Linked DNA regions of Drosophila melanogaster. The protein of the gene in region 2 interacts with the protein of the main gene of each other region in a pairwise test. Each region holds a gene or a part of one and is shown on either strand. Other genes may lie near its edges.

What was found.
Region 1: the proteins of tap (region 2) and zfh2 interact in a two-hybrid assay, tested with the Drosophila melanogaster proteins (one large-scale study listed by BioGRID).

Annotation. Positions count from the first base shown.
Region 1 is NC_004353.4:492,571-509,105, forward strand, and holds the start of zfh2 (Zn finger homeodomain 2), read left to right. Parts: upstream 1-9,239; 5' UTR 9,240-9,287; intron 9,288-11,280; 5' UTR 11,281-11,568; intron 11,569-16,535.
Region 2 is NT_037436.4:17,353,622-17,370,112, reverse strand, and holds tap (target of poxn), read right to left. Parts: upstream 10,432-16,491; 5' UTR 10,321-10,431; coding exon 9,124-10,320; 3' UTR 8,302-9,123; downstream 1-8,301. Other genes in the region: Cad74A (cadherin 74A), read left to right, coding at 1-258, 328-1,469, 1,530-1,656; CG7692 (uncharacterized protein), read right to left, coding at 12,648-14,449, 14,542-15,355, 15,414-16,007, 16,070-16,320, 16,376-16,491. UniProt on the Drosophila melanogaster protein: May play a role in the specification of the sugar-sensitive adult gustatory neuron and affect the response to sugar and salt. Regulated by POXN.

The DNA.
Region 1 (16,535 bases), on a different chromosome or scaffold from region 2:
TTCATCGAATCCAAAAAGAAAACCATAATAGGTCAATGGTGTACTGTACTGACTTCTTCAATATGCAGTGTCATTGACGTATAATTAGATTTGGCTATAGCATAAGACACATTATCCCTTCCCCTATGCCAAAGTGGTCATAAAACCCACAAAGTAACCATTGATTTACTGGAGAGCGTAATTACGAGGAGTACTCTACGCGTTCTGCGACACTTACTGCTCCCAAGCAGCCAATTCGAAATACATGCATCAACATATTATTTGTGCTGGCTGCTAATTCTCTTTTTGCGAATAAGAATAAGAATTCATTATATGTACACCAAATCCATTCACCCCCGGTTTTCCATGAGGCTAACGGAATTGATGGAATTGAGACACGTAAGTGTTTGCATGTAGAAATATTTGCTTACCATTAATCTATTAAAGCTATTTTTGCTCCCAAGTAATAAAACATATTTCAAAAGTATGGGCCTAGTTGTTTTTGACGGTTGAGTGACCGTGCCAATTAAGAAAATCAAACTTGAATCTGTTTTTTCCGAGATTTTTACGGGGTAGACATTTTTGGTTCCTAGTTAAATTGTTTATATTGAGCATTGCTGTTGAATTAGCTGAAATAGACAGTAAGTTCTTTTAATAAATGTGTACATACATATACAATACTATTCTCTTTATTACTCTACAACTACATTCAAAATTGTATAGTTTTATGTTTTTAACCGCAAAATATATGGTGTTTATTAATGGCTAACAGAATAGATATTGGATGTTTCTTTTCAATTGTTGTTACAGAATTGTTTTGTACGTTTTGATCTCAAATTATACAGAAAAATTATTTATTGGAAGCGTTATTCCAATGTCTAATTACTTTAATAAAATATCGAAAATCCCCGCTGTTTATATGCGATATACAAACTGTGTAATATTTTTGAAGAAAATACCATTTTCATTAATTTAATTCCCTAAACCGACTCTACCTAGATCGTATGCGCGTCTACGAAAATGCTATGACATTAATTTTTAGAATTGTTAAGTCAGTGGTGCGCATCAATTGTATTATTTGTTACAAACTCATTTGCGTACTATTAAATTCATCAACTATTACTCTATGTCGAGTAGGAGCCACTTATCAAATTATTGTTAAATTAAATAAACGCTCTACTGTCATGGGCTGCAGAAATCATTTTAAATGTCAGGCTCACTTGGAAAACCATATAATGCAAAGTTTCGTATTTTTCAAGAATATAAACCATTTTTAACAGACATTCTTTTCGAATGAGGTACCACTTTAATGGAATAAAGCTCAAGAGGAACATGGCACCAATGACACAAAGTCCGACTAAGTTACCCTTTTTTCACAGAAATTGAATTAAGTATGTTGTCGTTCTGCCAATAGTGGCGAAAGCGTTGAACGGATATCTATACTGACAGTTCTGGTCAAGGGGGGAGGAATGGTGAAGAGATTTAAATACCTAATCTGCGGTCGGTCAACTCCGACCAAATTTTATGGGGGACATTGTTTCCATTTTAATTGTTTTAAATGAGCTTTGAATTTAAAAATTGTGGATGGGGTGGTTCCTTATATAGGCGTTTAACATCCGGAATTAGGGAAATAATAACAAATAACGCCCGCATTTGTTTTCGCATCCATTTGGGATAATGAAGCGCAACCCATTGAATTTTAATTTGGCACTTAACAAATTCAATGGGAAATCTTAAAGTTCATCTCGCTCAATTACTGCCTTTTAGCTCGTATGGACTACGGATTTATTTTCATTTTCAATTAATTTCCTTGTGAACATAAGTGTATATTGTTGTCGCCTTCGCATACTCTCCTGGTGCACTTCGTTACTACGTGGACTGCCACATGAATGCAAACATGAAAAGCTTTCTTGCAGTAATTGTACACGTTACTCGTAGAGTAAAATGGTAAACTAGACTCGTTGAAAAGTATGTATCAATAGCCTAGTCGATACAGATACAGATACAGCATACAGATTTTGGATAGACGCAGAGTAAGTTTGTTGATTCATGTTGCCCATTTTAACGCCCACAAACTGGGAAATTTTCAGATATTTCTTCGTTTTATTGTTTGTCTTGCCAATCTATCATCTACCGGTATACCAAAATCACTTTGGCCACCTCTCTTCTAATGCCTTCAAACCGCCGAAAACTGTCACGCCCACACTTTTGAAAATCGTTTTTCTCATTCATATCTATTGATTTCGGAAAAAAATTATAAAATTTCTCGTTTGCATTTCTACTACCCGAGTAACGGGTATCTGATAGTCGGGGGACTCTACTACAGCATTCCCTTTGTTTTATACTCGCTACGTGGGGTAAAAGTTTTTATAGCCAATTTCGATTGATATGACAAAAAACCGAAGGTATCTGATAGTTGAGGAAATCGAATATTTTGTTCTCCCTTATTCTATCTCGGTAATTTTAAAATCAGATTCAGACGAAGTTTATTTCCATTTATATTATTACATTAATAAAAAAAGTATAATCTATTTTGTTGAAATGTTGAATTTTGTCAAAAGAGATGCGCAAATGAACTTTTAGGGGGTGGTTGCCAATAAAAAGGATATTATACACTTATACCTGACTTAAAAAAAAATATATCTGTATTTCAACGCGATTTTGGTCTCTCTCCAAGCGATATAACTTTTTGAAACGTGTTCTTTCTTAACAGGTGTTGGGACGGCCTGATCGAACAATATATTTTATAAATCCTATAGAACAACTAATATAACTATATTAATATAAATTAATTATTATATTACAACTATATATAAATATCGAAATTATAGGTATGTACATTATTACGAATGGATTTAGCCGATTTTGGTTTGAAGAAATATTTGTGGTAAACTCGAATAATTTGCAAGATGTATGGATCTATGGGTGACCGAAATATGAATGGAATATTTACTGCTGTCTGAAAAGTCTAAATGTATAATTTCAACCACCTACTTATTGTCGACGCCGGTTATGGAGGTTAGCAAATAACTGGATATCACTTATTTTGTTTTTGCAAGGCCACTGTAATTCAACGAACACAAGGTTTAAATAATTAATGTAATCCTTATTTGCTTCCATTCGCTACATGGTAAACAATAAATTCAGATATAAGGAAAACTGTCTTCTGATTGTCTTCACGACTGGAGTCTGGGATCTGTTTTGATTTACATTTGTATAGCTTACCTACCTATGGAAATTGCATACTGGTGGTTGCCCGAAAGCTGCTAGAGGTACCGCCAGCACGATAAAAAAGTTAAGATATGCAAAACTATTTAAAATTCATTCAGAAAGTGTCAAACAGAGTTACCGTCCATTCATCTAACGTCATTTAAGGTGTGTGCACCATAGAAGATACGAAAGAGATTTATAAATAATGAATGGGCGCATACATATATACGTATTTGAGGTTTTAAAGTTTCGATTGATCAAACGGACAATTTTTGTAACATTTTTCGATAACTTGATAATGCGCTGCATAGATATTTTTTTATTGCGTGATAGCATAAAAATATTTATAATGCTATAATAATTTATTATTTTTAACGAAGAAATCAGATGCTTGCATGCATTATTAGTTATTGATTATTAAAATTTCAGAAATTCCAGAGTTGTCAAAAATACGCATATCTTTTGAAATTGGCAAGACAAATAGTAAAATGAAACAAGAGAGAATGATATAGCATAATTTCATAATGATTCTAGCATATCAATGGATATTAAATAAGAAGATATAAAATGAGAACGTTCGACGTTCTTACGGACGCACAGACGGACATGGCCAGTTCGACTCGGCAGACCCTGATGTACATAATTTATAGAGTCGGAAATACCTCTTCCAAGTAGGAATCTAGCAACCTTTTTAGTCTACGAGTTCCCGGTATAATATCTTCGTCGCATAGGAACTGATTAGTTTGGTTTTAAAAGTTTTGTGATCATTCAACCCATATTTGCACCCCATGTCGTTGTGATTTTTCGATCCCTTCAAGTCGACACAATCTTTGTGACTAGGCGAACGTAGTACACAATTCCATATTCTAATCTTTATTACGTCAGCCATTCTACCTTTTAATTTATTCATGCGTTTGGACAAAAGATAAAGTCCATGAATGCGAGTAAGAATGTGAATCTTTCAAACAAAAAACCAAACAGATTTTAACTTATTTTAAAAACAGTCAATTTTACCGATTTGAAGTATTATAGCATACTAAAACTTAACCGAAATCAGACATATGCGCATAAAATGATGTGATCGAAAAGGTCAGATAATCCAGCTGGAATAGGCCCCTCGTCAATGAAAAAGGGGACAATCGTGGAATCACATCAATAAATTGTCAACTGGCCAACTTTAAAGTGTCGGCCCACATGTCGAGAACATAACAAAGGAAAAGAGCTCAATTTTGAAAACAGAAAATAAGAAAAAGTGTTGCAGACGGTTTTTTTTTACCGCGAAAGACTACTTAATTCTACAACCTGTTGCTATCTTCAAAAGATACGAAAGCAAAATATAAGCAAAATTATTATATATTATATAGAGTAAATGGGTATACTATGTTCGTTGAAAAAAGCGGAACATATTGATGGGTGGAATGTCTCTGTAGATCTCGGGAACTATATCGGCTAAAAAGTTGAGATCTGGCCAACTGGCTATACCGACGACGAGACAAAGACTGAGGAGGGTCACCCAGCAGACACTTTTACAAGGGGGAGGCAAAGAACTCGAGTGCTTCAAAACTAGCCAAAACTATTAGCTAATCTAAATTATTTTTCCAAATTGTAATTCATCGTTGCTGTTATTGTTATGTTATGTTCGTTGCCATTCAAGCCATTTAATTGGTTGCTTAACGTAAAAAAAATTTTGTAAAGTAAATAAAAATATTATTCCTGAAATTATTTATGGTTAAAACACTTATACATTACATCAAAAAAGATATTCGCAAAATTATTTATTGTTAAGATACTTGCGTTTATGTGTGTTCCCTATTTATTTTTAAGATTAATCCTATGACAAGTTTATGATACAGTGGTCCGAAAAAATGAAGGCTACCCGACAAGCGATGATCGGTGGGACTATTACCTTGTTACACGGTTGTTGGGTTTTGGGTTTAATACAGAAAATACAAATGCAATAACATGCATAGGCATACCGATGAATAATTTAAATATTGATCTGTTCGACTTTAAGTACAAGAACCCGTGATTCCAAACCCAGTGACCACGGAAACAAAAGTTTATCTGAGAGTCAAAACGGAGACCTCGTCAAAAACTTGTTTGCTCACCTGTATTTACTTAAAATATCCAAACACAAAAACCTTTGCATACTGCATATCTCAGTTTGTATGTTGACAAGGGAATGTGTACCCAACACGGTAATTGTACATAAGCATGTGATAAACACGAAACATTTGGTCTCTTCTTAAATCTAAACAATGCATTCAGAATATCGGTGTACTCATCGATTCATATGTAGTTTACCAGCTCTTCCCATTTCTTTAAGCTTCTTCCGAATCAGTAGACTATCCTTTGGGAAATAGGTCCCTGAACGTAATAATTGTTAAAAGCCAGGGCCCTGACCCATCGGAATTATTTGTTAATGTAATAATAATAAATAAAAGTGCATACTATACAAAAATATGTAACAGGTAGACGGAAACGTATCCGACCCTATATGTTATGTAGATGCTTATATACAACATCCGAGTCGATCTACTACGTGAACTGCCATTTACATGGATGAAAGATATAAACTAAATACATTGACACCTGAGTGCTTCGTCTGGTAGCTAAGGTTTGTTTATAGACACAAGAAATATGAATTGGACGAGTGACAAAAAACTGGATTTTCTATAACTTCCAATATACAAAGAAAACAAGAGAGAATGCTACTGAATGTCCAGTTCCTCGACTATCAGATACCCTTTACTCAGCTTGTTATAGATATTGGGAAATAAAATAAGAAAAAATTAAAAAGAATTTTAAAAGTGTGGGTGTAATCGCTCTTGGGCGGTTTGTAGGCGTGGCAGCATTGGTCAATAAACTTGCGCTGCGTTTATGTCTCTGTCTTCCACCCTTTTACTTTACGAGCAACGGGTATAATGAATTAAAAAATTGTGGGCGCTGTGTCTATGTCTCTAGAATATGTATGCTTATATGTATGCTTAGTTCCCACGTGCATATCTAGTATACCCTTCTTTTACTCTACTGGTAACGGTTATAAGAACTACAAGAAAATAACTTATGTAATGTTTTAACGCCTACTCTAATTTCCCCAAAACGGAAAAAAACAGCCACGCCCACACTTCTACAAAATGTTTTGATATTTATTCATATATTTGTTGGTCTAATACATTTCTATCGATTTGCCAAAAAACTTTTTGCTTCTATCAAAAGGAAAAAAATGTCAAAATTGCCACGCCCATACTTTCTTAAAAATTTTTTCAGTTTTTTATTTTTTGTCTTGCCACTTTCTGTCGGTATACCAAAAACACACTTTGGTCATGCCCCTCCTTACACTAACAGAACGACCAAAACAGTCACGCCCACACTATTGAACAGTTTTTAATTTTTTTTTCATTTTATTCCCCAATATCTATCGATATCCCAGAAAAATTAATTTCGCTTTCGCATTCACACTAGCTGAGTAACGGGTTCCTGATAGTCGGGGAATTCGGCTATAGCATTCTATCTTTTTTCATATATGTATATGGGTATATATGGATATTCTAATACCTTGCCGTGCATTAGCGAGTATGTAAAAGCGAGAGTAAACGCATGACGTTTAAACGAAAGAGAGTGAGTGTCAGAAAGGGTTTTATCTATTCTTCTTTTATATTATTCCTTTCCCCTCTGACATGCGTGTTATATTCATTTCTTGGTAAAAGTGTAAACGCAGACGCAACTTTTGCAACAGACAACTGCGTAAATATGTATTTTTTGCTGTACGTACATACGTATATGATTAAAAATTCAAATTCAAAATACTGCGTGTGCGACGGTGAGTACACTTTTACATAGGCATATGTACATATATGCTGTATATTCATAAAATATTTTATTTTTGAAATTACCATTTGAACTGCATCGCTTGCATATTTATACCCGTTGCTCGTAGAGTAAAAGGGTATACTAGATTCGTTAAAAAGTATGTAACAGGTAGAAGGATGACATTCCGACCATATAAGGTATATATATTCTTTATCAGGATCAATAGACGAGTCGATCTGGCCCTGTCCGTCCGTCTGCCTGTCCATATTAACGTCTAGATCTTAGGGATTATAAAAGCAATAAGGTTGAGATTAAATATACAGTTTCTAGAGACATAGACGCAGTGCGAGCTTGTTGCCACGGTCACTCTAACGTCCACAAACCGCCCAAAACTGCCACGCCCACAGTTTTGAAAAATATATTTTTATTTTTTGATTTCTCCCCATAACGGTCGCGACCATGCCTTTGAACAATTTAAAATTTTTCTTTTTTTATTTCCCAATGCCAAAAACTGTTGAAATTTTCCGTTCGCTTTTCCCCTAGCTGACTGATTTGTAGTTGATAGGATCCACCGACACCGGGACATTTGCACCACTCTATAATAAATATTAACCCGTGTATTAACCCATATGACAAATTTAATATCATCGCATATGTAATGCATATGCAAAATATATTTTTTATATTTTTTATATATTATATTACAAACACACTTTCAACAAAATATTTTAATTAATAAATAAAAGATTAAATGATGTAGATGTAGAAACTTGACCCTATAAGCATATATAAGCGCAGGATCACTTAAAAGGTCCGATTGTCCGTATTAACACCGATATCTCGGAAACTGTAAAAGATAAAAGAGAAAGAAGAATGCAGCGCATGCATGCATGTACGCATCGATCAAAAGTTATAATAGGGTACCAGATTCGATGAAAAAAAACCCTAAAAGTATATATATATTCTTGACCAGGATAACTAGATTCGATCCGTATGAATCCGTCTGTCCGTATGAACGCCTCGATTATTAAACATTCAGATTCCAGATACATTCCAGAGACGTATCATAAATACGCCCACTCTAATGCCCAAAACTGCCATGCACAAACTTTTCGATTTATTTTGTCTTTCTGATCGATTCTATCGATAGTCCTAAAAATGTTGAACTTTCTCGTTTGCACTCTTAAGCTTAAAAAATTCTTCATAAAAAAAATTTTCAATTATTTTTTAATGATTCGAGTGGTTTGTTCAACGAAGAAACATTTTAACATGCATTTTTTGACTATTCCGGTGGAATAGTACGCATGTACGCATGATATTTTACAAATATTGTACAATATTTACGCAAGACATGTCGCGGAAGTATAAACATTCTCTTTTGGTCCAGAAAAATGTTAAAAAGAACTCAAGGTTTCATAATTCATAACGGACGTGCCTGATCGGCTCTGCTAGTGATCCTAAATACATATGTAAGTAAGCATATTCAAGATCATCTCGGGTCGCATACATTCTACTATAGCGAACATAAAAAATATTACACACATAATATTGGGAAAAGCTTAATCGGTTTGCACATTCAAAAAATTTTATTTAATGACAATGTGATACGAATAATATTATACATATATTTTTGTATTTATAGATATTTTTGATATCTCCGAATACAAATATTGAGTAGTTATTGGGAAAACAAAGGATCTACTTTTAAATGTTGAGTCCACGATGCTTGCCTGTAGGTATTTCGGTTCAAAAGAGACATTGTGATAGTTTTGTACCAGTTTAATTACTATAATATTTCTGATCATTCTGCAGACAATGGGATGTGGAACTTGCCGTGTTGGATCTTTTAACATCCGTCGGCAGTAATACAAAAATAATGAAAGATGATTGCCCAAGCTGCACCCACACAAAACAAAGGCACACACACATGCATAACAACAGGCAGAAATTAAATAAGGAAAAGAGAGGCTCGCTGTGAAAGCATAAAGCACATTGGTACACCGTTTTATCACATCATCTCCCGTCTCGCTCTAACGTAATTACCACTCTGCGTGGCAATAATTACCCCATTACGGAAATCTCCCAAAGTCTCTCAGTGTCTCTCTTGAATGTTGATTTGTACGCATGACTCGATTCTGTTCGGCTCGGTCGGACTTTCGGAGAATAAAGAAGAGGAGAGCAGAGCTCGAGAGCCCCGGAGAGCATTAACCAGCAAGTAAACAAGTAAGCCTGCCTCTCAGCTCAGTCGAAAAAAAACGTTGAATGAGTCAGATGCGGGTCGGATGGTGAGTTTTAGAGCTCTCAAAGATGCGGTTTCGCTGTAGATCTTCATTATGATATATTTGCCGTTGGCGTGACTGTGAGACTAAATGTGACTGTGACTATTCGCTGGTTAAATGCGCTAAAACATAAAAAGTGACATAGTAAAAAACAACCAAAGAGTGAAACTAACTGCAATCTGAAATGTGTTACCTCTGTAATCAATCATTCACTGCTAGCCCAATCCCAATTCTGCGAATAGTGATATCTATGTAAAGTTCGATATGGGTGCGCGTTGTTATACGGCGTCTACTTGAGTTTTATATTTACTTTTTACTTTTGCGTTGTGTCGAACAGAGTATCACAAAAAAAACCTATAATGGCAAGAATGAAGAACACCGTGAACCTTTCGACCAGTTTCAAAAAAATGCATTGCGAGATCAGCCCAACTTCCTGCCCATACCTGCAAATGGATACATTCGATTAGAGTAAATAACAACCATGCCGGAACAATTCTGCGGCACTTCTTCGTAAAATATTCAGTTCGCTTCTGCTACATGTTTAAATCAGTCGGAAATATGGGTGCATGCTAACGGTGCAGTTCCGAGCAGAAAACAATACACTCACCCTTATCCTTATGTGTGAGGTGCATTGGTATTGGAGTTCTGGTCCCTAGCAACAAAAACTTCAATCCGTAGACAAAAGCAGAGTTTCATTCCACTTCCAATGAGGACAATCCTGCACTATTTTGTTTGATGTATCGAAGCTATCGAAAACGGATTCCGTCCGGGAATAGTTTTTTATTTTTAATTGCATTATGTGCCAAACGATCCCAGCCGAGTAAAGCCGAGCTGCCTTGAGCTGAGAGCAACGAGGGTGTGCGAACGGAAGTCGCAGGAAGGAAAGAAGCTGAAAAGAGCACACCACAGGCACAGGAAAGGGTGCTGTGCCGCGCTAGTCGGTTGTTGGATGTTCTCTATGAATTGCCTTCAGCGATTTAATGAGCACGTGGTCCACGAGAGAAGTATATGCAAAAACGCTGTGTGTCTATTTCTGTCTCTGTCTTGGTCTTGATAGCTCTCCCCTCTTCGTCGCGGTGTCTGCACTGGGGTGGGCGGATGGCAAGTGATGGGAGGGAAAGGAAGCAGAACTTCCCACTTGTGATTGTGCTTGTGACTGTGCGTGTGTGAAAATGTGTGTATAAAAAAGAGACAACTGTCTCGCTTGCGATATAAGCAGCCAACTAGGAGTAAAAGTGTTTATATTAAAATGCAAAATCCCAAGAAGTTGGCAAATTAAATCAAGGGGCGTAACGCGCGCGAACACACTCTCCTTGCACTCATCCAATTCGCTCGATTTGCTCTCTTGAAATTTGCACACATTGCAGATATAATTACAAGTGTAAGAAAAAAAGACATTTAACATAGTTTTCAGCACCCGTTCGTTCTATATAAAAAAAAGATTTTGTGTGAAAGTTAATGTCTTTTCAAGCCATTGTGAATTTCTTTTATTTGGTCTTTAGTACAATCATTCTTTCAAAAAACTGGAGCCATATATGTATGTACAGTGATAAAGTGGTAAAGTCCTTGGCAAAACTACTTTTGTGTTGCCAACTGACTGCTGTGGGTCGATCACCTTTCGACTGTCACCTGCCACTGGTCACGGCAATTTCACCCGCATACACCTGTATACATATGTACATAAACTGGCACATCAGGGTTTTTACTTAATTGGGTTCTTTTTAAGCCTTGCTGTTGCCTGCCGGCTTCTCCCTAACATCCTGTCTATTGACCACCTGTCTCAAGTTGATGGCTTCACATAAATGCAAAATCAAAACCGCAAACCCTATTGAGAGAGACCGTATTTGAGGGTCAGTAAAATATGTAACCAATAATTTATATATAAAATATACCAATGTCTGAAGAACTTTGCACAATTCGAATGTATAACACTAACTTGTAATAGCTAAATATTTCAGGTGAAAATAATAATAAAATTGTTCACAAAATTACTCTTTAGGTGCCGCAGGCTAATTATCTCGCCCAAATCCACGAGCGCTCGATTCAAAAGTTCCTATAATATTTAAGCCTAAAGTTAAACATAACATAGTACAAACTATCGCCGCTAACTTAAAGTAATTCACGATTGAACTAGCTAATAACCCAACTTACTCCAAGTCTAAACGCTCGCAAACATACATAAGTGCAAAAACAAAAACAGCAAGGAGAAATCGAACGCCCTTATTTGAAGGATCTTCATTTCAATCGTCGAATGGCTTAAGGATTCAACTTTTCATAAGGACCTCAAGTGAGTACAATATTAGATTTGGTAAGGGTATGTTGTCTAGTTGTATGCGCAAAATTGGTCCTTTGTATACAAATAATCATATCATAGCCTCCAGAAGATATGGATAAAAAATATGTCTCGATAGTATTTTATTTTCAAGTACAAACCAGTTACGAATCTTATTTTATATATGAATAAAACAAGAACGTATTCATTATTCGTGTATATCGACTATATATACCCTCATAGCCGTCTATAAGACATCATTACCTCAGTTATACAATCAGCAATACCTCATAACACAATGAATTTTCGGTTACACCTTTCATGTTGAGTCCCAAATACTATAGATCAACAATGACGGTTAATGAGAAAATATATATATTGTTTCCATTTTATTTCTATGACATTTTTTTTATTAATGAGTCCGATTCGTTTCGACATATTTACGTATATACTAAATACAATAGAAAGAATATTTTCGGGAAAAGTTAATGCTTTAATAGCTTATAGCCTTAAATCTGAGAGAGTATTTGGCGTAGGAACAAGCAGGCAAACTGACTATATAAGCTCGGCTGTTTTTGCTGATCAAGAATATACCTTCACTACATTGCATACTTCTGAGAAAAATTGCATATAGTGTAGGCAATAAGAACGCCTATATGTAAGTTAAATATCATTAAATAAGTTCGTATTTAACAGCAAAGGCTGCAAATTAAGAACGAACAAGTATTTGCAAACATTATTGTCTGCGGAATTAGTGTTTCGTATAAGCGCACCAAATAATAGCTATTGGTTCATCATGTCAAGTCACCCATTGGAACATTTTAATTACTTAAAGACTTCTAATTAGCCAATGACGATGAAGCTCTCACAGAGAGGTGGAAGGGGATTACTAGTCCCTTGTGCTTTGAGTCTTGAGAGTTGGTTCAACGAACGAATTGAACTTTACCGAAATAAGCTGAGCCGAACAGAAAAATAACAATGCCGAGCAGAGAACTAAAATCATCCAGTAATTAAGCACATAACAGACAAAAGCAATGATGACGAGAGCAAAGCCCTCATACTGAGAGCTTAGGGCTTCGCTCTTTAGCTGTTAAATCTCTGATGTTGCCAGTGCAGAAACAGTGGAAACATGGCAGAAACAGCGGAAACGGAATCAAAAGAAGAGTAAAGCAACTGAATGCGACAACCGCCTAAGCGCGACTTGATTGGTCGGTTGTCGCTACTTAAAGTCCGCGGCTCCCGCTCCTCTCCCTTCTGTTTTGTTTCGCTACTTACTCCTCCTCGTATTTTCTCTTCTCTTGCCGCACGTCCGCACCTGCCGCCTCAAGCCTCTTCCTCTGTGGGTTTGGTATTTGCTTTGCTATTTGTGTTCTCCGTCATTTGTGGGTGGCTAGATGGGTGGTTTATAGAACAGCGTTAATTGATGCCGTTAGAATCACACCCCATTGGCTTTGTCACTGGCTTGGTACGGGATACGTGATTCGTTGCAGCAGAATCCCTCAACCACCACGCTAAACCACTCTGTCCATAGAAAGAAAGGAGAAGCCTTCTCTTTAGCGCAATTTTAATTACCAGAACAACCAATTAAGCACTAACGCTTTCACACTCCAACCGTCTCTCTCGCACGCTCTTGATATTCTCTTGTTAGTTATCTACATGCTTCTTGTCCGTTACCGAGTGCAAGCATATAAGCTTTGATATATATACATATATAAATATATATACATATATGTGTGAGTATGTGTGTAATACGTGGGCGCTCGCATGGGAACCAATTAAATGAAAGTTTCTCTAGTAAATAGGTAAATAAAACAGCGTTGAGTGCGCTCGTTTCGGATAAGTTCATACTTATTTATGCCTTCTACTAATTGCTGCTTATTATTGCCGAATCTGCGTCTCGCCCTAATGTACATACATACACTTACATTTCTTTATCTTGTGGGTATCTAAAATCCATCAACCCTCAACCGGGTCCTTAGATCCGCCTGTACCCCGGACGATTTCCTCGCGTGGCGAAGAATAGAGGCAAATTTCAAAGGAGAGACGCAAAAATCGATAATGACGAACACCGATATTAAAATAAAAAGTCTGTGGAATCACAATAAACTACAAACGAGAGTTCTTCCTTCTCAAAACGAGTATGGGTAGGAACATACAAGCGTGTATATATGTAGGTGTATGTATGAACATTCATGTAACATTTACAAGCCGTTCCCGTGCCTGAGTGTGAGAATGAGTATACCTTGCGGAGTTGTGAGGTGGGGATGAATAGGTCGAATATATGTCTACTCTTTACATACAAACGTAGATGTGTTGAATGGGTAAATACCCTGGTGATGGTTTGGGACATTTTTGACGGCATATGCCCGAGCACAGCAACGTGGGTGCGGGGGAGAGGTGTATTTTGTTTCTTTTCTGTTTCCTTTTAATATAAATACTAATTATTGAACACGCTCAAACTTTGAGAAGTAGTACAAACGAAAGCCAGAGTCAAAGAATGTCATCATAAGTCGTTCGAGGTAAGGGTAGTTTGTCTCAAATAAACAATAATTCGAAATCGCAGGAATAATTGTAATAAAAAATTTCTTAGAGCAGCGAAATATGAAAGAAGAGCAGAATAGAGACGGGAGAAAAAGAAAGGAGACGAGAAAGAGGCCGAAATGTATGTATGTCCCAGTGCTCCCTGAAATACCACGTCCGGGTAATTGTGTTCTTCATATACCCATCTCCGTCTTGTACTCTATTTACCCATCAGCGCCTCATTCTGCCGTCTCTGTCCTTCTGGACCCACACTCACCCGCATCTCGAAGTACTTTGCTTTCCAACGTTGCCATTAGGTACGACGACGACAACAACCACGACGACGACGAAGGCCCTTTTCGGAGAGGGCCGAAAATATGCAGAAAGGAGACACCATCATCATATTCTGGGGCTGACGAGACGCCGAGATACAGTCAGTAGCGAAGCCAAGCGCAAGCAGCGCATTATGTATAAATTATTTATTTACATATAAATTATATTTGTACTCGCGCGCCGCTCGCTGATAGGAGAGGGAGATGGTCTGGATTGTGGGCGTAGCGATTCTTCTCCTGGGACCAAGCCGAACGACGAGTCGCCACGGTGTCTCCGTCTCCTCCAGGCACCCCAGTCTCTGCCTCCACATCTGTCTCAACTTTTACCAGGGCCCGCTCCGTGAGTGCGCATACAATTACAATTACCGCGCAGAGACATATGTACACGCACACTGGCAGCCGAAAGGGGTACGCGAAATGAGGCCCAAGCAACAACAAGGATGAAAATAGAAATTAGCAACAAAGCCGACAACGAACCCGAACCAGGGGCCGAAACTAAAGCCGAGCATTGGAAACCTGTTTTATTTTCCATGCCGTTCTGTTGCTGTTGTTGCGGTGGCGCAAGCTTCTCAAATGGCAAAAGTGATTTTGGTCGGTGCTATGAGCGGAGAAGGGAGGATTAAAGAGAGGGTGACCGAGAAAGAGAGGCAGATCCATCCGCACTCTCTCTATCCTCGGCTCTTTCTATTATGTTCGTCAATATTAATTAAATTAAGAGTTACTTCTCTCAGTCAGCTCTCACCCTCTCGCCCAACATCACCGACCGACCCCCCCTTACCAACAACACAACGACAGAAAATTTCGCTCCGCAGCTTTGTCTCGCATCTCTTTCTTTTGAGTGAACGCTGGCACACACCTATGTATATGCGGGCGAAAACCGTATGCACGCACACGAGTGCGAGCGAGGCAAAGTGCGGTGGCAATGATTTAGTTGTTCTCATTGTTTTTCGCTTGTTTGGTTAAATAAAATAGGATTGGTAGGAGTGGAGAGCTGAAGCTTAAGGTGGTTCTGCAACATTTTCTCTCATGGTTTTAGGGATTCCTATTCTCCGCTCTCAATTATTTCAGTTCTCTCGTTGGTAACCCTAAACCTAATCCCGCGCACAGTGCGCGTCAATGAATGTGGATGGGAGTGTGAAAGCTCGGTTAAAAACAAACAAGCGTACGAGCTGAATAGGCGTGGCGTAGGAAATGGACCGATGCAGACCCTGACTCTGGTTGCGACTCAGACTTAGAATTAGACTCACCCCCAGACGACCGACGACTGACGAAGACCTTGCGATACAAATCTGCATATCACATGTAATTGTCGACTATTAAATGTGCTCCAAGCGCATGTGTACTGATATGTACGTGGTACACATATGGATATACATACAGATGTGAGCCTGTTGGCTAAATCTTTGTACGTCGTCCTCAAATGCAAACATAATGCATGGGTCACACACACGCACATATCATCAATGTTCATGTGTTAGTATCCTCCCCCTCGCCTGACTCACGTAAAACTTTTTACTCACACGGAAAGTGCCATATAAATCGCGCTCGGACAGAGACGGAGAGCGTGTGCTAGTGTGTGGCGTGTGAGCTGAGCACTTCGCACACCACTGCGGCCTTCGACTACCGCATAGCATCTTCTGATTGGTCGTTTTAATGTGCGCTGAGTGCTCCCGCAACCCCCACAGCCCCACCCTCACGTCACATCTTTCTTCTTGCTCTCCCCTCGGTGACTGTATTAATTACGATTACACATACACGCAGCAGCAGCTCTTCGAGTATTTTAATTGGTCGAGCCATATATGGTGTTGGGATAAAATGGAAGAAATTGGTACACATAAGAATCATCGAGCTTATTTCAGAAATGCTCTTATCTTACAATTCCTTTAATGCGTTACAAAAATACTTTGTAACCAAATTAGTTACTTCGTATAACAAAAAAGATTTTTCTTATTTTCCTACCAAAATTATTAAGGACTAGTTCCAACAAATGAGTCAGTTTATATCAGTTCAAAGTTAAAAATTCGCTAGCAAATTATTAGGCAATTAAATTAATAAATGAATTGTATTTTTGATTTTGAAAATATTAATCATTAGTCAAAACTTAATTTATAACGAGATTTTTTTTTAATC
Region 2 (16,491 bases):
CCGGATGATGAAAGCACCCCATCCGGAACCATTACTTATCGCATTTTGCCAGATACTCCAGATGCCGAAGCCTTTGTCATAGATGCTCACTCAGGATTGATAACCACTAGGCAATCGATGGATCGGGAGACGAAGGACATGTACAGGATTCTGCTGGAAGTGAGTGACAATGGACAGCCCAAGCAGTCGGCGACGAGGATCCTTCAGATTGCCATTCTGGATGTGGATGACCACGAACCTCGATTCGCAAGAGAAGCTGTAAGTGAAAGAAGCGTTTCAGAAGAACATTAAGAATAAGAACTGACAACAATGGTTTTCCTTTTAAAGGACGCAGGACCGTTGAGCATGTCGGTAAGAGAAGAGGAGCCGGCTGGCACCATTGTCGGTAACTTCAGCGCTTTGGACGAGGATCTCGGCGAGAATGCGGCCATTGATTATGTGATCATTGATGGAAACAATGAACAGTTGTTTACGATAGAGCGAAATAACGAAAGCCTGGCCATTCTTAAGACCAAAAAACCTATTGACCGAGAGCAGGTTGAGTCCTTTACTCTGACGATTAAGTGTCTGAAACTGGGTGAACCTGGCTACAAGTTCATTGGAGATCCCTATGATCGACAGGATCTTTCACATTTGCGAATTAACGTTCGAGTATTGGACATCGACGACAACCTCCCGAAATTCGAGCAGCCAGATCCCACTGTGGGTATCAGGATCAATGTGCCTATCGACACTGTGGTGACCACTTTGAAAGCCAGCGATGCGGATGCTGAGGCCCCACCCGTTGGTCTTTCCATTGAGAACGTGACCTTTGTGCCGCAGTTCTATAAGCGAAGTCGTAGTCTGGCCGTTGGAAATTTACATAATCTCTTCACCTTGAACAATCGAACTGGGGAACTGAGAACTGGAGGTTCATTCGCGGATTATGTAGATGGTTACTTCTTAATGCGGGTTATGGCCAACAATTCAGTACAACCCAAACGGCAAGCCCACAGTAATCTCAAGGTGTTTGTGATCCGGGACAAGTCGCTGCTTAAGTTCGTCTTCGCCCGACCTCCAAACGAGATCCAGCACAATATCCGACCGTTCCAGGAGCAGTTGCAGAAAAAACTGAAGCCCCTGGGATTAGAGTTGCATGTCTTGGATACACAGGTCTTCACCAGGCCCGACATGAGTCTGGACTTCACTGCCACCAGCTCCTGCTTCCAGATGTTCAAGAATGGAGCTGCCTTATCCTTCAACGAGATGCAGAAGCTGATGAACTCACAGCAGCTGCGACAGGAACTGATAGATATATACGCCGCCTATGGGGTCAGTGAGGTAGAATCCTGCTCGGTGAGAAGGACTCATGCAGCAGCTATTTTTGCGGGAATGCTGACCTCGGCGGGAGCGTGGCTGGTTTTCCTGGCCGCCCTCATAGGTCTGGCTGCCTTGGTTTCCCTGTGCACAGCCTGTTGTTTGAAGAAAAAGTAAGTTTGACACGGCCTTGACCTTTTCCATATTCTTAACTCATTATTAACCTTTTCCAGGCTAAAGCGGCACAGTAAGCGGAGTCTTCAGGCAAGTTTACGCACTCCCACGGAGCACACAGCCACCTCGTACAGTTACTCCATGCCCGCCGTGCTCTACTCCGAACCCATCTACGGGCCCTTGTAGCCGCAGCTCATCTTCTGCACGGGAAGGTCCAGGTTCAACCACTGACCACCAACCAACCTAGTAGACTAGTGGCCAAGACTCAAGCCCCCTTTGCACCAGCGGAGATCCCCATATCTCCCAGGATCTCCGCTCGGCAATTGCGAACCGGGACTTCTTTCTGGCAGAGATTGGTAGACGATAGAATGCCAAATCAGTCCATATACCATAAGCTTAAGCATACTATGCGCGTGATCTAGAATGTACGTGTAGCACCAATTAGCCTCTAGGATAGTGTTTACATATAAAGTAATGTATAAAGCGTAGGGATTTTTAAATTGAAATGGTTAGCCTAAGTCGAGTCAGTTCTTTGTGTCATTTGTGCTGAAGTGCTGGTTTCCCTGGCGAATTTAGCTGGTTTTCATTTGGCACTTTGGCAGGTCTGGAATGCATTTATTTTTTATATATTTATCTTATCGTCTATTTGCCTATAACATGCCGAACAAGTGCAGTATAAACATCGATCCAAACGACGTCCAATTCCAGCTCCACAATCCAATCCTCGACCAGGAGTCCAAGTCAGGCCATGTGCGTGTCGACCGAAAATGAGTCTCCCGTTTTCAAACAGAATGCATATGCTTTCGCTATTAAGTAAATATATTTATATACGACTAAGTAGTTTGTCCAATGTGAACATGTGTGCAAATAAATTCTATTAACTACAAAAGTGCGAAAAAACGCGACCTTTTACTCATTACTCGCAACGCTTTGCCGCGTAAAGTGATATGCAAATGAATCGTATCCCCACTAATGGCCTTAATACCGGAAGGTGTGGACATAAAATGCGGCTATGATCAGTAGCGATGGAATTTATTGATTATATATCTGCATTATATTGAACCTTAATTGAGCTGATATGCTTTGTAATAAGAATACTAACTGAATCATTAACATACAAAATTTAATCAAAACATTACTTAACCAAAGAAATCAATTGAGATTTGAAAGTAAAGTTGCATGACCTTGCTTTTAATTTGCATTATAGCTTATACTAATCGAAGAAACCACTTAATCATACTATCACATTATCCTTTCGCCCGCCTGCGAGCCGTTTTGAGTACCCCCAGATCCTGACTCAAGTTGTTAACGAGCCGCTCCGGATTCGAAATTCCAATTAAACTTGCCGCGTTCGTAGTAATTTCAAATTCCCATTTCCAAGAGTTCATTTTGGAAACTGCGTCACTATGCAGGCAAGTGAAAATGTAACGTCCAAAAGTAAGAATTCTGTGAAAGAGTGAGAGAGAGAGGCGGCATGCGGATGCATTGAGGGTGAGCGGGACAGGAGGAGGGAAAAACCCATAAATAATAAATGTTGTTAAAACTAATGTGCGGCGCTCATTAGCCCCTGGCAACGAACGAGAGAACGGGCGGGAAAACAGGGGATGATGCTGGTCCTGCCCCGATCCCCGATTCCCGATCCTGGCCAAAATCAAAGGGTGCAGAATGAACTCCGAGGGTTGCTGCTGCCACTCTCCGTCGACTTATTTTTATAACTTTTTAAAGCGAAACAACATCAACAACCCAAGACAGCGAATCAAGTGTTGTCCGGGTCAACTCAACTGCACTTGGGGGTTGCTCGTCCTCCTCCCCAGAGATGGAGTGTAATTAAACTTGTTTCCCTTACTAGTAAAATTTACATAAAGCCTAACTAACCTGGATTGTCATTTCCCTGCAGTCTCGGTTTTTTTTTTTTTGTATGTTTTGCTAAATCACCTTCCACTTGAACAGTGATTGATGATGCCAGTGTCATCCTCATAAATCACACTACAAATTCGAGTGCCAAAGCGGTCCGCTTGTAAGTCATTCGCGGCGCCAATCATCAAGGCATGAAGCTATGGTAATCTGGAATTAATACCACTGATACATATAGGACTATATAGTATAGATAGCACAGATTGTATTTATGGGGCGCCAAGGGCTTAACTTACAGATATAATCTAGTGGAGCATAGGAGACACGTAGGATAGTCTATCTTAATTTTACCCAGTGAATAGCACACGTTCAATGTTTTAGGTTTCATTCTAGCCAAATAAAATCATTTATACTTCATCAACTCTGTAATTATAAATACCACAATTCATGATCAAACAACTTATTGATCTTCTCAGAATATTGTCTTTAAAAACGACATAGAAATATTGCTATAGATTTTATCGGACTCACAATGCGATTTCGTAACGATTTATTTGCATTACACACACTATCCATCGTGTGTATGCAGGTGTCTAGAAACTGACTTTTTACCCCAGATTCAATTCTCTGACAGCTAGTGTCAGACAGCCAGATGTCCGGCTGACGAGGCGGCAAACAATGCTAACAATTAATGACTGAGCCCGGCCATTACCATTTCCTTTGCTGCAGGACCTCCTCCTTCTCCCGATTGAGCGACAAATAGTGAGAGGCCCTTGCGTGCATACCAAAAAGTGAAAAGCGGGGCAGGAAAGTGTGGCAAGTAATCATAACGGTCGCTTTTCGAGGTGGCAGGGCCATAAAAAAGGACTTAGGGGTTGTGTAATTGCAGTTAACTACTAGTTCTGCTTTCCATTTACGTTTCGGGGTAATTTTCGCCAATTTTTTTTTTTTGCGAGGATTTTTCGCATATTTCCCCGAATTTTCCTCTTTTTGTGCGGAAGCCCACACAATGGCGGAATTAGCGCGGGATTTTCGCGCGAATAGTTGCTCTAAGCCGGAAGTGGAACTACCAGGATGCGTCAGCTTAGGATCAGGAAAGGATTTCTCCGCCGTAACCCCCATTAAATCGCTCGTGCCGTGTCCGTTGTTTACATTTAACAATAACTGGGCATGAAACCGTTGTTTTGACGACATTTTAGTGCCAACCTTCCGATTTCAATTTATGCACAACGAATATAAAAAAATTAACAAATATCAACCATAAATTAGAAATGTCAGCTTCATTATGCACATGGCGCTGCATAGTAATTAGGCAGCTTCGCGCGTCTGCAAACTACCTATAAATTTATGACCACTTGATGAACTGCACCCGGATCCGAGTCGAAATCTGGGGTTGGGCTCTCACATTTCGTCCTGGTCGCCGGTTGCTGGTTTCTGGCTAAGCTCATTTGCATAACAATCAACTCATCGTTTGTGGTACAGCTACCATACCATGTCCATGACCCACCATGAACCACTCCTTGCTGCCAGGATTTTTCCATTTTCAGCCTAGTAAAAGGGTGCTTCCTCAAATGCTAATGTTTCGCGTACACTGGCGGCGGGTGTGAAGTTGTAAAGTTTAATGTATTGTTTGTCTAACAGTTTATTCATTTGGAAAAGGAATATATTTGAAATTCCTTTTTTTTCTTGGCACAGTCCCAGAATGCGAATGTGACTGGAATTGAAAAATTGTTCTTATATGGGGTTGGAAAACTGCTTGGCTTTTTGATAAACTGATTTTGAAAAGTTCTCTTAATAATCAGTCATGTGTAAGACCATTTATCTTTTACAGAGGAACCTCAGTTGTAATTTAAGATCAACGAAGGAATTATTACGCTCGAATTAAGTCTAGCTATTTAAAAAAAAAATTTGTTCATTTTTAATGACTTTCATTACTTGCTCAAAATGGTTGGGTTGTAACCATTTCATAATGTAATACCATTTAAACAGGTTTAATCTATAGCAAAAATCAAATTTGAATTCTGTGATCATGTATGTCAAAAACCGCTAGAATATTCAATATTTATAAAGTACCCTGAAATAACCCACAGGACCTTCTGTTTTGTCCTTCATTCAAATAATTTTCCGCAACCTTAATCGAATTTTATGGTCCTATCGTTAGTGGGCAGGAACATGATCTCAATTCGATTTGCCTAATAGAGGAACATGCACTATATAGTTATCTGATTCTTGATTTACATGTGTTAACATTTTCGTTTTGTTTTCCCTTCGCTGCGTACCACTTTCTGGCTCAACAATGTGACATAAATCTGCTTAAATTTGACTAAAACCGCTCTGATCGGATTAAAAATCAGCGCTTGCATAACATTTTACAGTATCAGTCGAGGGAGAGATTGCACACAAATGCGACAGATTGGCTTCCTTCCACGGATACTGAAAAATAGAGAAATGAAAAGGTCCTGTTCGGTACGAGCACTAAGTGTAACAAAATACTCGAGCCGGCTGTTTGTTTATCCAATGTTTTTCGGTTAGATGAGCACACAACTCGAAAGCGACAAAGGTAGGGCACACATGGATATTTTTTTTTTTCGAATCGGAACAGTAACGTATACGACGAGGTCGCACACCCCGGAAGGTTCAGGCTCACAAAAAACAACAACCAGAGGACGTCAAAGATTTCACAGATAAACCAATTCGAGCAGGGCAATGAATGGGCAAAAAGGTCGAGCAACTTGCCGCTAAAAAGCGAACGTGTAGCTATTGCACCAGAGCGAATCTCTGCCATCAATGTTTGATCAGGACCAAAAAGGGGTAATAAACAATGGATCCGGGGCTGCAATAACCACGTGCACCGGCAAAGGGTTAAAAAAATGTGTGCCAACGTCTTGCTAAAAAGGCGTAAAACAATCAATTCGGCAAATAAAATTCGATTTGCGAAATGGGAATCGCAAAAGGGCAAGTACAAATTGGAGCTGTGTCGTCAGGAACGGTGTGATATATGATCTTAATATTTCATGCTTTCCATTCCAAGGGTTGAACTCTGACTCTCATCAAGTCTTTGAGAGTAACCAAAAATAAGGTTTTAGAACACCAAAAGGAACGACAATGCACATAAAAATTTCACATTACCTTAATTCATGTACTCAAATAAAATAAATTTTTAAACAAATGGCTTGATAATTTATCCATCTTTTACAAAAAAAGAAGAGTCCTCAGTTAAACCTACTTTTCTTCATGCTTGAGTTAATCTAAAATACAAGTTGATGGAAAATAATAATAAATCTATACTATAAATTGATAAAATAAACTTCAAAGAAAGCAGCCTTATTTCCGTGTTCGGTTTGATAGGGAAGAGTATGAAATGGCCCCTTGTGTTTTCTCCGTGTGGACTAATCCCTGTATATTTACACAGAAATTTGATTTGGTTAGGTATCTGCAAGTCGAACCCTCCGCCATTAGTCGACCCAGCCGAAGTCCTTTGTGCAATCTCATCGGACCGCATATGAATCGCTCTCCAAGGACCTGCACTTGCCGCAGCCGAAGATGCCAATCCATTGTGTTTGCGCCTTTTAGCATGTCCATGGCAATTTGTTTCCATTTTGGTTGCCTTATCGCCTTATGGCCATCGCCAAATTGTTTTTCCAGCCTCGCAGTGCATTAGCATTCGGGCAAGGGAGTCAGGGCATAGATGTCGTCATTGATCCGCCGATAGCCATCGAAACGCAGCCACCCCGTCCGCTAATGATGCGAGTCCCATCCGGGCCAGGTTTCATCCTCATCCTCAACCCTCGAGGAGAGGCGAGTGGGTCCCAGAAATTGAATGCAGCTTAGCTGGCTCACCCGCTGCGTATTTGCGCCTTTGCAGCACAACAGGACCAAAGAACCCAGGACCCATGCCGGTCTATAATAATGATTATTGCAAAGATAAATCCCGACACCTCCAACAAAGCTGCTCAAATGACAAACGCCGGCTTAGTTGTGGAAAAACTGACGAATTCCCGCTTATAACCCCAATAACTAACCATGAGCGAATCTTTTACCGACAGCAAATATATCTAGTTAACTTAAACATAGTTGAATGCTCAGGATGGCTAGACCTAAAATTATTTCTAAGATATTTGAATGATGAATATAAATTCTAATGGAGTATGCATACGAATAATATGTAATTTTAAATCTTTTTGTTAAAAGTGGTGGTTAGTAGTTGATATTTGAAATTAAATCATACAAGTTGCTGATAAAGATATCCTGCTTTCCCAATATTCAATTTACGTTGCATTAGGCAAACCTACGCCTTTTTTTAAAACTTTAAAACCTTTGAATGTAAGGCTTTGCAGTATGACAGCTCTATTAACGGATAAGACTGTCTTATTGTAATCTTCAGTTGAGATTGCGAATTCCTCACCGGCTTTCCAGCATCTTTACCACCTTTTTACCCTTTTCTCGTAACGGAAAACGTCAGTCAGTCAGTTGTTACCCAGTTAGGCAGTAAAGCAGTAAAGCATTTCCCTCGACTCTTGCCGGTTCGGTTCATTCAACTAAATAATTTGAGTGGCATTCATGCAGGTCCACTGGCTCACAGCTCATGTTTCAGGATTCCCTGTTTGGTCCTGACTGCTGCTGTTGGTACATTCGTTTTGTAATTGTGTGGCAGGTGACGGCAATCTTCCATTGTTCGAGCTATGAAGGCCGAGCCGGGAGTTCGAGTTCGGTTTCTACTTGAACTCACCCCATGTCGAATTGTAAGGGCGAAAAGTGCCCCCTACGATAAGAACAAGCTGCAGTGCACACACACAAAGCCATTCGTTTTATGTGCCCTGCAATATACAATATTTATTTGAATTTAAGTCCTTTGTTTGGGACCTGAAATCCGCACACAGCGGTACACTGATTCCAGGGTTGTTTGCTTTGGCTACTATTTTTGACTTTGTCCAGGAGTTCGTCCATTCTTCCCACTCGCAAAACCATTTTCTGGCTCGTTTTGATCGTCAACTTTATTTGCAAAAATAAATCTTTATGGTTTTACATCGAAATTCAATCTTATCACCTTAAAGTTCTGGCCCTGACTAGCTCGCTTTCCTTGCATTGCAATAACTGATATAGAATCTGGCATAACCTACATACACTTAATCGATTGTACAGTTAATTATGGCTAATACCTGGTTCATTTTAAGAATCCTTATAGATAGGTCTTAAATCTAGAATGGCAAGGTACGTATCGCTTACACTAAATGGACAACCGATTTGTACTATATAGTCAAGAAGAATGCGAATATGTTGAGAAGAAGAGTGCTTTTTGGAAAATTGATTACCCTAAGCACTTTTAATTCAAATATTCACCAGAGATCCGCAAGAAGGAAGCCAATGAATACAAATATAATGGGAATTCATATGAATTAATAATGAGTTCGTGAAGCTTAACTTTGGATGTTTGACTTTAAATTGGTTAATCTATTGAGGATCCCTCTATAACATGAAACTAATTGAGTTCAAAGATTAGCGCAAGTGTGAAATATACAATTTTTAAAGATATTTCATTTTCAAACTTGATGATAATCTTAGCAGTCAATTAGGTGCCTCGCTTATTACCAATATCAACGGATTGCAGGAAAGTTGAGAAAAGTAAGGAAGGGAAATCCCGAGATAGGACCCATAAGTTACTTTAGTTATGTTTTTAAAGTAAGTCAAGGGCAAATCGCTTAGAGGAATTCCCCTTGATCAGTTTCCTGCAATTTCCGGCAATCTTTTAGTATATCACGCTGAAAACCCTAAGATCGTAGTTTGGCCCACAAAACTGTGCTACACCTGCGGGGCGAAGTTTTTGTAGCTGTGTTGATGTGGAACGGGATGCACGTGTGCCTGATCCTCCGGATAGTCCTTCCATGGCGGTGTTTGCGAGTAGAAGCTGCTCTGCTGGTGAATCCCAGAATCCAAGTTCGTAGAATGAAGATTGGCAGCTGCATCGAAGGATCCCCTGAACAGATCGTATTTCTCCTGCGAGAACTGCTGCGGGCTGGACTCCTGCTGGGGATTAGGCTGCAGATGGTGAGGCTGATGCGGCTGCTGTTGCTGTTGGTGGTAAAACCGCATGCTGCCTGTAAAGTCGAATCCTGGTGGCTGCTGCGGATAGTCCATGCCGTGCTGAAAGCCACCCATCGCCGGCGGCTGCTCCGCGTGCGATGCTGGAGCAGTCTGGTGCTGTGCAAGAGGCGCCATTCCCTGTCCATAGGGGAACATTCGTCCGAACAAGGGATACGGCTGTGGATTCACGAAAAGAGCATCGAAGAGCTCCTTGGTAATCCTCTCACCACTCAGCGTGAAGTTCTGCAGCTTCTCCAGATCCAGGTTGATTGAACCTCCGCTTTCCAGCACCTGCTCCAGGGCAAAGATGTAGTTGTGCGCAAATCGCAGAATCTCGATCTTCGTCAGCTTCGTCTCCTCGGGAAGCGAGGGCAGAGTGACGCGTAGTTTCTCCAGGGCATCATTCAAGTTATGCATCCGATTCCGCTCCCGGTCATTGGCCTTCATGCGGCGGAAACGCTTGATCTTCACCACTTGGGTTGGACTGCGCGAGCGAGTTACTCTGTTCTTGCCGACGGCATATTTGCGTTTCGGTCGCGGCGCATTGGGATCCTCTGGCGACTTCACCGGCGTACTGGTCAATGGCGGATCGAAGACGCCATTCGTGGCCCGACTGTTCAGATGTTCGACCAGTGTCCTGCCGCTCCGAGTGCTGTGATTGCTGCTCGTATCGAGCAATCCCACGAAGCCCGCCGGCGGTGAGCTGAGCGGTACGGCGTCCCAGGTGCCGCCGGAGTACGGTTGCGGGATCGCCGGAGTCGGCGGAGTGCCAAAGTCCAAGCGGCGTCGTGAGCTCAACTGGGCCTCCGTCTCGAAACTCTTCTCGTAGCCACTGTCGAAGGAGGCGTCGTCGTCGTCCTCGTCGAACTCGAAGGACTGTGATCCAGCGCTATAGGCATTGTAGCAGGCGGCCATGATCTCGTATCTGTATCACGGTGTGTATATCCTTTAGCACATTTCCGATTTACGATTTCCGCTTTGAGAGAGTTGTTTCTTCGCGTCTCGCGTGCCCGCACCAACTAAAAGCTGGCGAGGAGTGCGCACCGGTTTTATGTGCCCGGCCAGCCATTAAGCCCGCTGATTTGGGTCCGGACTAACAGGCATCAACCCTCGGCGCATTGTCGTCGGTCGTGGCGGCGCCATAGCGCAAAGTAGAGAGCACAGAACCCCGACACAAATCCCAACAGATATGCGCCGTGATTGCCGCCCGGGGGTGGCTTTTGCCAACTCACACACCAACGTCGTCTAGCTAGAACTGCCTGCAGCGGGGTGAACTTCCTGGAGATGGAGATTCGTTCTGCGGGCCGCCGCTACCAGTCAAAATACGAGCATTTTTCACGCTTCGCTGCGAGCGGTGCTCTCTAGGCCAATCGGAAGGATGTCTGCGTCCGAGGATCAGCGGTGTCGCCAACGGCATCATCAAAGCTCGTCTCTATAGTCATACCCTTCCTCTAGGGTTATTTAAATACAATGTGCTTACTGCACAGCTTAAACTTAATTATATTTATATTAATGAATGAGTAGTATTGTTGGTCAATTTAAGATATGCTTTATATTATAGTTAAATTAAAAGAAGAAATATTATATTATTATATATTTTGTAAAAATCACTTAGTTTAAGGATAAATCCAAAAATTATTTGAAATAGGGAATACTTTTGTTTAATATGATATCTTCGGATCATTACGACTTTGTTATATTTTCGGTGTAGGTATAATTTTCGGACGAGATTTAATCCATTTCCGTACTAAAAGATTTCTTACCCTTTCCTACATATATAGAGTATGTGTGCTTCGTGGACTAAATAAATTGTTATTTTGTTTTATCGCCACATCGAAATAATGCGATTGCAATTCAAAAGATTCAATTACCATCAACTCTTTCGCCTTTCGCAACTAAACCGCAATAATCGTTTAGGGCTTACGCCTGTCGCTAAACGGGTTAGTGGCACGTGGCCAGGATGCCGCCTCCACTTACCAAAAGCAACATGTGTATTCAACGGAAAGCTCTCACTCCCACAGGACTCCATCCTCCTGGTAGAAAACCCAGGCGTTGCCACGTGCCGCGGTCTTAACGGCTGCTCAAGTGGCAAAGTGTGCCGATGTGGGATTCCTATCTGTGGCAATCCTGTTAAAGGAGGATCGGAGTTGCAATTTCAAGTGGGCGACGGGTGCCACGTGCGGATTTGTTATGATATGCGGCAATTGCCGCAAATTACCAGCACGAGTGAGAACTTGAGTGTCGAGGGGGCTAATTTAGTAATATGCCACATTTCAGGCAGTTCCTCCTAATGGAAATGAATTGAGTGCTTTTGTTGAAAAAATATAAACCTTGCTTCAGTAATTGTGACACCATCAATTTTTTCTTTAATAGTGCTTTATAAGGTAGCTAAGTATGTTATGAAAAATGTACTAAGTAGAGCTGATGTTTGATTAATTTCCTTATAGATTTCAAAACCAAGATAGTTTTATATAAATAAACAAATACTTAATGGTATACTTATTTATTTATTTTTTAATCAGTTTTCTTGTATGATCAGTACAATGAGTGTTTTCGTAACTTATAAAATATATTTATATATATATAAATATATTTATATATATAAATATATATAAATATATTTATATTGAAGTTTTAAACAGAATATTAATGGTAGTTTGTATCAATATCTTTATAAGAGCTAAGTACTACTAACAATGTTTCTTACATGAGAAGAAAATCTATCCCATATATGCCACTTAAATTCACACCAGCAGCCACGTGTCGCCGTCGTCGTCATCCATGTTACAAAGCTTCTCCGCCGCGTGTAGCTAATTTGGTTTTTTAGAGCCACAATGCACATCAATTAGGCAGTTAATTGAAGTGCGGATGCGTTTGCTTTTTCCATTGAGTGTTGTCCTGGACTCGATGAGAGTCCTTTTTTAAAGGCCCTCGGGCGGCGTTACAGTCCAAATAAAAACCGAAATACAATGCCGGAGCCGGAAACTTGGTCAAACAGATGTACACGTAAATAATTTCATCAAAATCCTGGCGTTTTGGTAGCCAAAGCAAATACCAAGTGTGCCCCAGGCTAATTGCATTCTAACAACCGAGACGAATTCGATTTTCCCAGCTATACACTTCATCTTCCTTGCTCCCTTCCTCTGCTGCGCAACCAACGAACATCCCTTCGCCAGCATTCGTTTCGGGCACGTAGAACATCGCCTCTGGCTCGGTAGCAGGCTCGACTTGTCAACAGCGTGTTAGAATGGAATGATGGCCTCCTCGTAAAGCGGATCCATATCCATTGCATGTGTAAAGTTATTCATGGGGGGGTTTGCGGCTGGAATTGGTGAGTTGGACGAAAGAGAGTCCGAGGACAACTCGATCACATCCGGCTGAAAGGAAGGCGATCGTCGCACATTTGGTTCTGTTATACACTTGGGCCCACTGCGTCCACGGTCACGTCCACGTCTTCTAATCGCAGAAACAGACCGAGTCACTTCCTCGAGATCTGTCGAGGAATCGGATGTAATGTGCTTGAAGACCGGCTTGGCTATCATGCGCGGCGATGGCGTGGACGATTCCGAAGGTGCTGGCGAGTCCGATGTGATGTGCACAAACTTCTTGAAGCGGCGCCTATCATATTGGCGGTAGTTGTAGCTGTTTGAAGATCCATTGCTGTCCTCGGTGTGGGAGCGGCTCTGACCGTTAAGACTCGCTGTGAGCCTTCTTTGGCTGCGACGTGTCTGGTCGTTATAGAAATTTGCCATATTAGTTCGCTTAACACGAACTCTTACTCCCCTGAGTTTTTCTATGTCTCGTGGTGTCAATCTGGTTAAGCACACCTGGGAAGAACGCGTCAGGCATTCGTTGATTTGACGATTTGTCTCCATTTCCTTAATATCGTTTGCAGATCTGGAATTGGATTCGTTGTTCACTGAGTCAAATTGTAAGCACTTGTTCTTAGGGTTCTCATCACTGCCATCCCACAGAAGGGTCTCCTCCGCGGTGTCGGTTTCTGTCCCGGTTTCTGATGGCGTTGACATTTCATTAGGCAGCTGAGCATTCCCTAAGCGCTGCATGTGGATAAGCTTATCTTTTTGTTTTCTTGTATTCGGTAGATCCCGTTGCGGTTGTCCAGTTTGTTTTGGCTTTTCGGCCGCCTGTCTCGCTTCCAGTCCCTCTACTTTGAACAGTCCATTTGGGATGACCTGTTTTAGGTCACTAGTTTTTAAGGCATCTCCCAGTGGCTCCTGGGTCTGTTGTCCAGTTCTCACGGGCTCCTTGGTCAAAAACAGAAACTCCGGAGTCTTCTGTGGCACTTTTGTAGTTTCTAGGCTCCCATGGATCAAATGCGTCTTGGTCTCACCAGTGGGCTGCAACACTTCTGGGTCCATGGTTAAATCAGACTTTGTGGTCGGCGAAGGTGTTAGCTCTTTACTTACACCGGTAGAACCTTCGCTGACCTCCTCCTCGTTGAAGTCGTGGGTAGCCATCGTGGAAGTTTCTGAGTTTACGCTTTCAGTTTCCGATCCCGTGCGAACGATATTTTGAACAAGCTGGGAACATGGCTGCACGGCGGCTTTTGCAGCTTTGGCCATTTTGAGGGCCTTCAAGATTTTGAATTTGTTTAATATCGAGCTGCACTCTATCATGCTGCTGCTGTCTTCTACCACATTCTGCAGCTCTTCCTTCTTGAAACTCCATATGTCGGCGATCGGCTTAAAACCGACGGTTTCGTTGGTAAATTTGGGTCGTGACTCCATCAGTTCGCTAATCGTACGCTTTTCGACACGCGCAGATGTTTCTTGTAGACACAGTTGTTTTGGAGGCTGGACTGCGATTTTTGGCTGCTCCTCGACGACGGGCTGCGTATGAAATTGGTGATGTGATGTCTCTGGAGAGCTCGATCGTCGCCCACCGCGCACACTTCGATCCATGTCAGACAACATGGCATTGGCTACCATGGCTGCCGCCCTAACCCGAGTCCGGCGGCCATTTCCTGTGTAGTAGGGCTCCGAATCGCTTGAGGCAGCCTCCTCCTCGTCTTCCGAAAATACTACTGTGGGATTTTAAATTGAAATTATTAGTATGACTGAATTATTAGTTATTATGAAAGGAAGTGGCTCAAAAGAAAACGATTTTGTTGCTAACCTTCGTCCCAAAATTTGCGTTTTGCGGGTCGCCGCTTTTTCTGCTCCTTGGCTTTCTCTGCTTCATCATCCACTGCTGACGTTTGTTCAGCTTCTTCCTCAGCCTCTGGGAGATTAACCGCATTTTCGTAGCCCTCTTCTATGGTGCCATAGTCCAACTGAGGGCGATCCCTGTATTTGGCATAGTCGATCTGGAGGTACTTCAAATCGTCGCCAGCTTCGGCCATGTTAAGAGACACAAATTTTCTCTTGAGGTCCGGGCTTTTGAGAAGGGCATGGCAACGCTCGTGTAGCGTGTGCCAATCGAGAGCCCATGAGTATCGTTTATTCCGTGGTTGGAAGACCACGGTCAGAAGGTCTTGGATCATGCTGCGGGGAAGCCGCAACGCCTGCAGCGATTTGTGTATCGGATCGTAGTCGGCCACTGGATCGTAATGGTTCGTTATTTTTACAATCTCGTCCACATCGATGGTGGAGCTCAGCAGTTCGTACTTGACGTTCTGTGGTGTCGTAGCAGGTAGCAAGTCGTCCTCCTGCCGTTTTTTCTTAATACGCGAACAGCGCCTCACTTCGTTATAATTTGATGATGTGGGGTGGAGGTAGAAAGCCGTAAGCCAGAATTCTGCCTCCATAAACCCATGTTCGGAGAATACCTTGGCTAGGTCAGCATAGTTTTCCGACATCTTTTGCTCCAAATTAAGCATAAAATCAACTGTTAATCCGGGATGATATTTCCATATTTCAATTGCATTCAACTGTTGTCCAATGATCTTCAGCAGCAGGGCAATCTTAGCAAATGTCCATCCTGAAAAATTCTACATGAAAGCACTGTGTTTAGTACAGGAATTCCTTTTCATAGTTCTCATCACTTACCCGCTCTGCCAGCAGTTTGTACACAAAGCTCAAAACTTCCTCATTGTTTGGTACATTTTGAAACACCGGATCTATTTGTCTATCTTGTTCTTCGTCCACCTCAGGCTGAATCTGTTCGTCGTCATCACAGTTCTTGTAGTCGCCTATGTTGCTGGCTCGGTTTCCCTTGCATATCTGCTGCTGGTAGTTGAGATTTAGCTCTACTACATGTGGTTGAAAGTGGCTGTTTCGCTGGTTTTCCTTCTTCTTGAGTTCCTCTAGAAGGAAGCGCTCGCTGCTCTCTCGCTCCTCTACATAGCGATACATTAGCTCTTTGAACTGTGGCAGGTGCTCCAGAAAATCGTGTTCGTTGAGCGCCTGGAGCTCCATCAGGAGATTCCCAAGCACATAGCTGGCGTAGACCTCCAGCATGACGGCGAATGAAGTGACCAGACTGAATTTGAATTTCCTAAACCCAATTTGCTCAAAGAACCCATTTTTTCCGAGTTGAAGACGCACGCAAACGTGGGCAATAAGCCGAGCTGGCGTAAAGTTAATGTCATGTAACATCGAAGCTTCCTGCATGATCTGGGTATAGAACCGTATGTTGTACATCTAAGGAGTGGTTTTATGATGACATTGTGTTTGATATGTTGTATCATGTATGTTTTCCTTACCAAATTATCTATTACAAAGCCTCGATTTTCATCTCTTACAAAAACAGTCAAGAGGTATAGATGACCGATTAGTGTAATTGAGTTTTTATCCCCTTCAAAGGACACAAATTGATCATTTTCGTGTGCTTTCACCCAAGCAGCCAGCATCCGAAGCGCCAGCTGTTTCACGGCCTCAAAGTTGCCGGCATTAAAGAGCTGTATTAGCCGCAGCAGGGCCAGAGATATCCCTTCCTGTATCAGGAAAGCAACTTCTAAGAAATTGACTATGATTAGATAAATCCTTCGGGAAAAATAGTAATTGCTTGCCTTCTCCTGATGCCGCAGGAACTGGGTGCTCGATGGCGTGGTGTTTGTTCAGCTTCAGGTTAAGGAATAGCTGCTGCAGGTAGGGCAGGCTCCAGGGCCTTGTCTGGAACTGCAGA